2 linked regions of the Macaca fascicularis genome follow. The protein of the gene in region 2 interacts with the protein of the main gene of each other region in a biochemical or structural test. Links are inferred from orthologs where the notes say so. Each region holds a gene or a part of one and is shown on either strand. Other genes may lie near its edges. The genes, in order: LNX2 and GJD2.

Evidence for each region.
Region 1: the proteins of GJD2 (region 2) and LNX2 form a complex in vitro, tested with the Homo sapiens proteins (2 studies listed by BioGRID and IntAct, with this or other methods). The link is inferred for Macaca fascicularis from reciprocal best matches to the Homo sapiens genes GJD2 and LNX2.

Annotation. Positions count from the first base shown.
Region 1 is NC_088391.1:7,597,509-7,602,083, reverse strand, and holds the start of LNX2 (ligand of Numb protein X 2), read left to right. Parts: upstream 1-1,484; 5' UTR 1,485-1,670; intron 1,671-4,575. Other genes in the region: protein POLR1D, read right to left, coding at 42-67; DNA-directed RNA polymerases I and III subunit RPAC2, read right to left, coding at 42-67.
Region 2 is NC_088381.1:11,267,380-11,271,848, forward strand, and holds the start of GJD2 (gap junction delta-2 protein), read right to left. Parts: upstream 2,875-4,469; 5' UTR 2,371-2,874; coding exon 2,300-2,370; intron 1,492-2,299; exon of another isoform or gene 1,387-1,491; intron 1,307-1,386; coding exon 412-1,306; 3' UTR 1-411. UniProt on the Homo sapiens protein: One gap junction consists of a cluster of closely packed pairs of transmembrane channels, the connexons, through which materials of low MW diffuse from one cell to a neighboring cell.

The sequences.
Region 1 (4,575 bases), on a different chromosome or scaffold from region 2:
TGGGCGCGGCCCGCTCCGCCCGCCTCCTCCTCGGCCGTTACCTCTCCAGCTCCTGGTCCTCTTCCATCGCTGGGGCGGTTTCCGGATCCTCAGGTGGTGCTGGCGGATCGGGGGTTCTGTCCCATAGCGCGAGGCGTGGAGACGAAGCAGGAAGGAAGGACAGACCGACGGAAGGCGCGGAGGACGGAAGGAGGGAGGAGGAGCCGCAGCGGCGCGGCAGGGCCCAGCCGCGGGGCGGGGCATCAGGCTCCGCCCCCAGGCCCCGCCCCGACGCGGGGTGGGCGGTGGCTCGCGGCCCGGCGGCTCACCTGGGCGACCAGGCGAGGCCACTCACGGCGGGAGGGGCAGGGGGTGGGGGCAGGGGGTGGGGCCAGCGCCGCTTTACCCCGAGGCCCAGACAGGCCTGCGGGCGCGCCAGCTCAACCTTGGTACCTTTCCCCAGGTGATGGTGAAGGAGCGGGGCTTTACCTGCCGCCCCCAAATCACTTCCCTTCCCAGTGGCAAGGGCGAAAGAGGCCCGACTCCCCCACTGGGGCGGTGTTGACCCAGGATGGCCCTTCCTGGGACCCCGGCCTCCTGGGCCTTCTGTGGGACGACAGGCTTAGGCTCTAGTCGGTCAACACACCTTGAAGAGGGAGGAGGTCACGTGCAAGATGAGTCACGACAGAATACGAGGGTTGAAGGCGGTATTTGTCTCACCGGGGACCTTGCAGTTGCATTCTCAACTGGGTCAAATAAAGGGCAAGAAAGAAATGTCTTTCTCTTTTGGGGGAGTGAGAGTTTGCGAAAAAACTGTTTCCCACCTCATCCTTTCCGTCCTAGGATTCCTTCTATCCCCCAGAGCGCGTCCTCTCCGGCTGTGGACTTCCTTTCCCTTTACCCGCTGTGGCTCTTCAAACCTCTTCACCTGCGGAACCCGCCCTCACCTTTGTTCCCAGGTGCCCAGCCCCCGCCTCGGCAACCTTCGCCACCCAGACTCGCTCTCCGCCCAGCTCCCACGTCCCGGCCCCGGCCGCGCTCCCTCAGGTGCGCTTCCTCTCGAATAGGCCCTTCTCCCCTAGCCGCCGGCCCCGACCCTGCCCCACTCCAGCTGTCCAGCTGTCCTGCGCAACTACGTTTCTGCTTCCCTGCGCCACCTGTTCTCCTAGCCTCCCCCCACCCCGCCCCGCGATTCCTCTGGATGTTCACTCCTTCCCGAGCAGTGCCACTCCTGGCAGCGGCCCGGGGTGCGCACAGGCACCTAGCCCCCGGGGCTTCCGCAGGGGAATCAGGCGGGCGGCGGGGACAGCCCGGGGCGGGTGGGGGAGGCGGGCGGCGAGGGCGGAGTGGTCTCACTCTAACCCAGGAGTGACGGGCCAATTCTGGCCCGCCTCCCGAGCTCTCGGATAGGTGGAGCCGCCCTCTGGTCCGCCCACCTCCCGCCCTGTGCTACCTCCGATTGGCCCGGCTGCGGGTTGGGCCGCTCGGCCTTAGCGCTGGCCCCCGGGAAGGCAGCAGGGGCGGTTGAGAAGTGAAGTCTTGGCCGGAGTTTGCTTCTTGCCAGGAAATCCGCGGTGGCGGCGGCGGCAATTCTCGGCGGAGCGGAGCCGGGCAGGCTCTCCGCTCCCTCAGCGGGCCGCGGAGAGCGGGAGCTGGTGGCCGTGCGCGGCCCGGGCAGCCGCGCTTTCCCAGTGAGTAACTTTGCCCTGCCCGCCTCGCTGCGCGCCCTCTCCCCGGCTGCGGGCAGCCGCCTCAGGTGCGGGCGTCGGCTGGGTGTGGAGGAGCGCCGCGCCCCGGGAGGCGGCCGGAGCGGCGCCGCTGCTCGCCCCGGAGCTTTGGTCGTCCGCGGCTGTCTTTGCTCGCCCGGGCTGCGGGGCTGGCGTGGACTCCGGTGTGGGGCTGGTCGGGGAGGGAGAGTCGGCGCCCGGTGCCCGCCGCCTGTAGGAGCCCTGGAGGCGGGCGGCCTCCGGCTGTTAGCATTTGCTGGTTCCGGCCACCGCGGTGCAGATCTTGGCGTCGTTTGCTTCTTAAGGGAAGGGAGAGGTGGGGTGAGTGTTTAAATTTCCTGTGTGTGTGTGTGTGGTGTCGGCAATGCGAGTGGCACTAGCTGCCTTTGTCGGATTTTGTTCCTCTGCAAAGGGATAGGGAGAGATCGTTCCCTCCGCCCTAGCCTGTTGCCTGTGAATTCTCACCTTTCTCTTTAGGCTGGAGAGGGTGGGAGATAGATTTGACATATTCCAGTGGGTAATTTAAAAATGCGAATCTTGATTTGGAACCAGTTGCACACAAAGCATCGTTCAGGAAATACATCACTCGCTTTTCAAAGCTTTATGCCACGTTTTAAACAAGGACTTTTGACTCATGTAGTGTTTCTTCTAGTATTTCAGTTTACGTTGAGTTTATGAATCCAGACGTTCGTTTGTGCCAGGAGCTAAAGTACACTTATGCATGGACTTTGCTGTATTTATTATCCTTTTTAAAATCACAGAAATCAGAAACAAAGTTGAGTGAAGAGCGGTGGCGGTGCAGGAGGAGGAACACTTGTGAGCTCCAGCTTATTGGAACTGCCTTTAAGAATTTCACATTCTTGCGGCAATAGTACTTACTTGTAAATTGGCCTTCTTCCCAGGACAGATTTTGATATTTCTTTTGCATGTACTTCGATGCAGCACTGATGAAGTTGGATCTCAGTAGATCAATTTTATTTACTTTGCTAGATTTGATTCCCACCCCCACACCTCTTTAGAAAATGGACTTTGGCAGGTAAAGAAGGAAGCGGGAATCTGGTATCCTTTTTGGCTTGTCAAAGCTTTGTTGAGCCATGAATAACAAAGTTTTGGCTTTTTAAGCTTGTCCAAGTCCCACATGTGAGTTTTCCCATGGGGTAAAAGTAGGCCAAATGAGAACCAAAGTAGAATAACATTACTTTTAATTCGGCCCACTTGTGTGTTACATTCTCCATATATCTTGTTTCTCTCGTCTTCTCATCAGCTTTGACATTTTTTCATTATTTATTCATTTAGCCACTGATAAAGTACCTACTGCATGCCAGCCATTGATGGCAGGGGTTAGTTCTTGCCCAGAAGTTTTCTCATTTGGAAATTGATCCATGCTTTTATCCCGCTAGTTACCGTGAAGTAATTTGAACTTAGGGAGCATTTCTGCCTGGAGACCTGTAAGAATAGGTGTTACGTAGGCACCTAGCCTTCAGATTGATTTGGGATATCGTACATTGTAGGCACGGAGCACGCAGGCCACTTAAAAATAAATGCATGTATCTTTGGGCTGTTGTATTATGAGCTTTGCATATGGGCTTGTCTGGCCGAAGGACCCAGTGTCCAAGGTGGAAGTAGTAGTCAGGGACATGTATGGTATTCATTTCAGAGCACTTGGCACCTTTTCTTGCTTACATTGGTCACTAAAATATTTACTGAATTGACTTGAACAGAAAAATGAAGGATTTTGTATACCAGATTAAGAAATTTGGACTTTATCCAGTCAGTGATACTGAGCTGCTAATTTTAAGCAGGAGAATGTCATGATAACATTCGCGTTCCAGAAAGATATCTGCAGCATCTGGAGGATGGTGGGCTTCCAGATGGGCGGTATTGAGACTAAGTTGGAGGCTGTTATAATGGAGGGGTTAAGTGCTCAGGGATTCTCTATTCAGATTACCTGGGGTGGAATCAAGCTCTGTCATACACTGAAACCTCTTTGTTCCTTAGGTTTTTCATCTCAGAGTTTGGGGGATAGAACTTGAAAAAACATGTATATTACTTAGAATAGTGATTGCCACATAGTAAGGACTTAGTAAATGCTAGTGTGCTGGCAGTGGAAGGAGAAACGACATGGCATTTAACGCGTATGACTAGGAGGCTGGACCAGGTAAGTGACTAGATAGGCTTAAGGGAGGGGAAGGATGAATCCTGGGTTGTTTGATTTCAGGCATTGATTGACATGTACTGGGTAAGCTGGCTGTGGAATTAAAACGGGTCAAATTCTAATTCTATTACTTACCCTTAGAATTACTATCCTGACAGAACTTTGATTTCCTAATATTTGGGAAATGATTGTCATACCTGTTCAATAGGGTTTGAGAAATTACACATGTAATGCCTTTGGCAGGGTACCTAGCACATTCCAAGTGCATAGATGATGACGTTAATGAGCTAGTGGAATGTTGGAGGATATGAGAAGAAGCAGTTAAAAACAATTGATGGTAGAGGTGTGGAAGGGGAGATAAGTTCAGTTTTGGACCAATCTAAGGAGGTGCTAAATGGATGGTTGAGAGATCCATGATGCAGTTGTTGGATAGTTGTGTCTCACAGGAGCTAGAAAAGAATAGAAAAGAAAAAAAAAGAGTTCACAGAAAGCCTTTATGGGTGTGGTAAGCTTTATAGGCGATTTAGAGGAAGGGGAGGGTGAAGGGGTTCACAGTGGAGCAATGTCAGAAGTGTTGACATTGAATATTAGGCATTTCTGTCCTTAAAATACATTTTGGCCACCATCAAAGAAAGAAGGACTCCAGGCTCTTGTAATCTGGTTGGCTCTTCGGCCTTCTCCCCCTCTTCTTTCTTTCCTTTCTGACTGCCACCC
Region 2 (4,469 bases):
CTCAGGATAAAAGGACGTGTTGAGATAGGTCACAAATTTTATATCAATGAAGTACTCAACTCACATCATTCACCAGAATAAAGAGCTCAGCAGGGCTAAGTCCTACTTGGTAGCTGTGCAAGTTCAGTGTTATCAGGATTAGGCTTGGGCCATGAACAGAAAGGGCCCAAAGAAGTCCAATTCATCCATTTCATCACTCGACCCAGTTGTCTCTGTGGAACCAATTAGGTGATATGTGAAAATGGTTCCACTTTTCCTCTTCTCCCATTGATGCAAAATCTTCTTTTATCCAGTCTTATCCTACATCTTAATGGTGAGAGTCACATAAATGAGGGTGGACACAGCCACCTCTGAGCAGTCATCTGCCTTGGGGCTCTTGCCATCCCCCAGACCTTTGTGAAACCTTCCCTCTCACACATAGGCAGAGTCACTGGACTGAGTCCTGCCAAAATTGGGAACACTGACCCTGGGCAGGTCCTTGTTACGAATCTCATAGATTGACTTTCTCTTGGCCTGAGCCCCTCGCACAGCCAGCTTGATCTTGCGCCATCCCAGGTGGTTGAGTTCGGCCAGGTTGAGCACAACACAGATGCCACTTACAGCAAACATGAACACTAGGAAGACAGTCTTCTCAGTTGGCCGGGACACATAACATTCCACCTCCTTGATGCAGGGGTAGCGGTTACACTCATACAGCCCTGGGACACTAAATCCATAGAGAAAATATTGGCCTACCAGGAACCCAATTTCCAGGGCATTTCGGAACACCACTTGGATAATGTAGAAGCGGGAGATGCCTTCCTGCCTTCTGAGCTTGGATTTTGATGCAGTGCGTAGCCCTGATGGGTGTGGAGTCAGCTCCTTAACCTCTAAACAATCTGGCTCTGTCTCCTTACTGGTGTTCTCTGTGTTCTGCAGCACCCCATTGACAATAGCATTTTGCAACTTCTTATCTTCTCGTTTGCCCCCACCACTGCCCCCACCCCCAGTTCCTCCAGGACCTCCTATGGACTCAGGGGGGTCTCTGTCCAGGGCTAGGAAGACAGTAGAGTAGCGGCGTTCTCGCTGCTTGGCGGACTGATGCACAGAGTAGGTGATGAAGCAAAGACTGGGGGTACACACCATTATGATCTGGAAGACCCAGTAACGTATGTGGGAGATGGGGAAGGCGCGGTCGTAGCAGGCCTGGTTACAGCCGGGTTGCAGGGTGTTGCACACAAACATGGTCTGCTCATCATCGTACACCGTCTCCCCCACAATGGCCACAATGAGGATCCGGAAGATCACTACCACAGTCAACAGGATCCTGAGCAGAGGAAGAGGGAGGGAGAGAGGTTCTCACGGGCTGCGTCACTGACAGGAAACCCCTGCTCCTCCCTTCCCTTTGCTGATGTTTTCCAGTCGTTTGACTGGGGAGCTGTCCATCCCCGGCTGGTACTGAACTGGGAATCTGGGAAAGCTTTTTGTCTCTTCCTTTTCTGCTGAGTGCTGGTAAGCTGGGAACATTTCATATTATAGAGATCCCAGGTACACACAACATCATACACTGGACATAGTCTACTTGGAACAGATAGATTTCATCTCTCTATATAGGATGTATAGAAACACAAAACACACCTTCACTCTGGATATGGCAAATGCACACAGAATACCTTTACAGACGGTGCATGCTTCAAGGTCTACACACAGGGTGTGTTACATGTAACTACTCCATGGGTATATTTAGTTTATTCTCAACATGAATATTAAATTTAATGCTTTATATAAGCAGATGGCTATGAAGATATATATTTATATATATTGAACTCTAGAGACATAGATATACAGACACAAAAATGGCAATTGGGTGTGTAGGCTCGGTAAGTTTACACGGCCAAATAAGTTTAGTTTAGTTTACTAATTATTTGTTGAGAAAAGAGGCATCTGCTCTGAAGAGCAAATCCATCTCCCCATTTGCCTTTCTCTGTCCAAATGCAATCCTGCCTTCTTTGTAGATTCTATTTAGGGAACCGGATGGAGATTGGCTCTGACTCTGGAGAGTGGAGGGACCAAGACTGAGCCAGCGGCTTCTTTTCTGATGTGGGAAGAGTGAAGCCCCAGTGGTGCTTGATGGGGAAGGGATGGGCAGTTGGTCAGGAGTAATCCCTCATCGCCAGGAACACCGGAGCCTTGACTTAGGACGATGGGGAGGAGGCAGAGGACGGGCTGGGGGTTGGAGCGGGGGATTCAGTCCGGGTGTGAGAAGGGACTCCCGGGGCCGCCCGACGGGGCCCGCTGACTGCCGGCTTGTCGCCCTTACCTCCCGATCATAGTGGAGTGCTGCTGCACCGCGGCTTCCAGCAGCCTCTCCAAGATGGTCCATTCCCCCATCGCTGTGCATCCGGAGGCAGCAGACAAAGACTGGGCAGCACCGGGCACGTTCCTGCTCCTGGCCCCTCCCCGGGCCGCACCTCCAGAATGGGAGTGAATTGCCTCCCAATTAAAAAAGCATTTTTTTAAAAAAATCCTCGAATCCCCCTTTCCTATTATTGTACTTAAAACAGAAGAAATGGGGAAAGAAATCCAAACGCGTCCGGACTGATGGGGCAGTTGGCGCGGTCCAGAGAGAGAGCACGAACCTCGGGCGCCGTCCGGGGTTCGGGTCTGGATCCCGCGGACGCCGGGACGAGGGGCGGGGTGGCAGCCTGCAGGTCTTTGAGCGCTCGCCCGCCCAGGAGGGGTCTCGGCGCCGCTCTCTGCCGCAGGTTGGGGGCCGGGGGAGGGTCCGGGCACCGGCTCTGTTCCTGCTACTTCGGCGGGCACCTGGCGCTCCGGCGCGGCAGCCTGCGAGGCCGGGGCTGAGCGCGCGGAGCCGAATGCCGGGCTCGGGGATCCGCGGCCGCCGCCTCTAATCCGCCCTTAAGTAGTCTCCGCCTGCGTCACGCCAGGTCGGCGGAGGGGAGCAGAGCGCGCTGTGCGGCTGTCGCTGCGCGTCGGAGCCCGAGGGGCCGGGGACGCGCGCGGGGGGGAGAGGGGCAAGAGTCCTGGGGGCCCGGCGGGGAGCGGGGCGATTTCGAAAAAGGACTGCAGCGCCTCTCGGGGCTTCTCGGGGAGCCCAGGTAACCTCACCTGACCGCCAGACCCAAGCAGGCGGAGGGGGGAGCCGGGAGCGGACGCGTGGGTGAGTGGGGAGGGGAGTGAGTTGGGTATATGTTCTCTTCTCTTCTCTCAGTGCATCCCTCACCTTTTCGCTTTTGGCCTTCGGGAGACAACTGAAATTCCTTCCCTAGATGGAGATGCTGGCTGAGGGAGGGCGAGTGGGGGCGACCACTTTTAAATCTCCCTTAGGGGACGGAGGGGCTGAGAGTGCTTCTGGAGAGTGGCTGCGGTTCGGTGCCTCTGTGGATCCGACACTGAAGTGGGAAAGGCTTGATGGGAATCCATTTAGGCTGAAGGGTAAATGCAGGTGTGGAGCTGTCTCTCTGTATGGGGATCAGGGTACAAGAGCGCATCTAACAGGTGCCTCGCAATGAGCGAGTAGGGTGGCTATGGTTAAAGGTCTCGCTTCCCATTGCAGTAACCCAGATGCTCTGCTCTTTTTAAATTATTGTTATTATTTTACTAGTGGGAAGGGCGGGGGATACTCGTCAGGTAAGCTGTGATTTAATCTGAATTTAAGACCCAGTATTCTGCTAGCAGAAACAGAGCCACTCACAGCCTCGCCCTGCCCCCACTTTCTTTACTGGGTTTGGCTTTCTCCCCTCAACCAGCAGATCGCGGTTTTTAAAATTCACATTGTGTTGTCAGTTCTGTCTAGAGCAACTACTTAATTGGTCGCTGAAAAATTGAAACAATCACAGTAAGCTGCTAATTAGCCCAGGGGTCCGTATTAGGAGGCACTGTAGTTGGGAGTGTTTGATGTAAATGTACAAAAGTACAATGGGAAAGTAGTTGTCATCCTTTTGAAAACACAACCGTGAAAGGGTTGTTAACTTGTCCTAGGCATATAAAGGGACCTAGCTTTAATTATCCACAGGGATCATAGCACTATGTGTATTATATAAGCCACACCATGGTGAGCCTTCACTTCTGGAACAACCGAGGTGGTTGGGTAGCTGGTGGCCCAGGGACTGGGAAGAAAGGTGCAGGGCATGTCCCTGAGTCCACTCACAGCGTACTTCTTCATAAAATGATGTTTAAACACATGGCGTAAGCTTCGCCGCCAGAAAGATCACTGAAATCCTCTGCTAGGGTTGACACCCTTACCCCAAGAAAGCAGCCTTTCACTGCAAAGGAGTAAACGTGTCCACTAACAATGGAGAGAGGGATGAAGTGTAAATGAAACATTAGGACTAGGGCATGCATTTCTTAGTTTCCTTCTGAACACGGAGGAGGTTCAAGGGTGAGGACGAATGGATATCCTATTGTTCAGTTAGCTTCCAGATGGAATGTGATCCCCTAGCCCAAGCTTGGTGTGTTTTCCCAGGTTT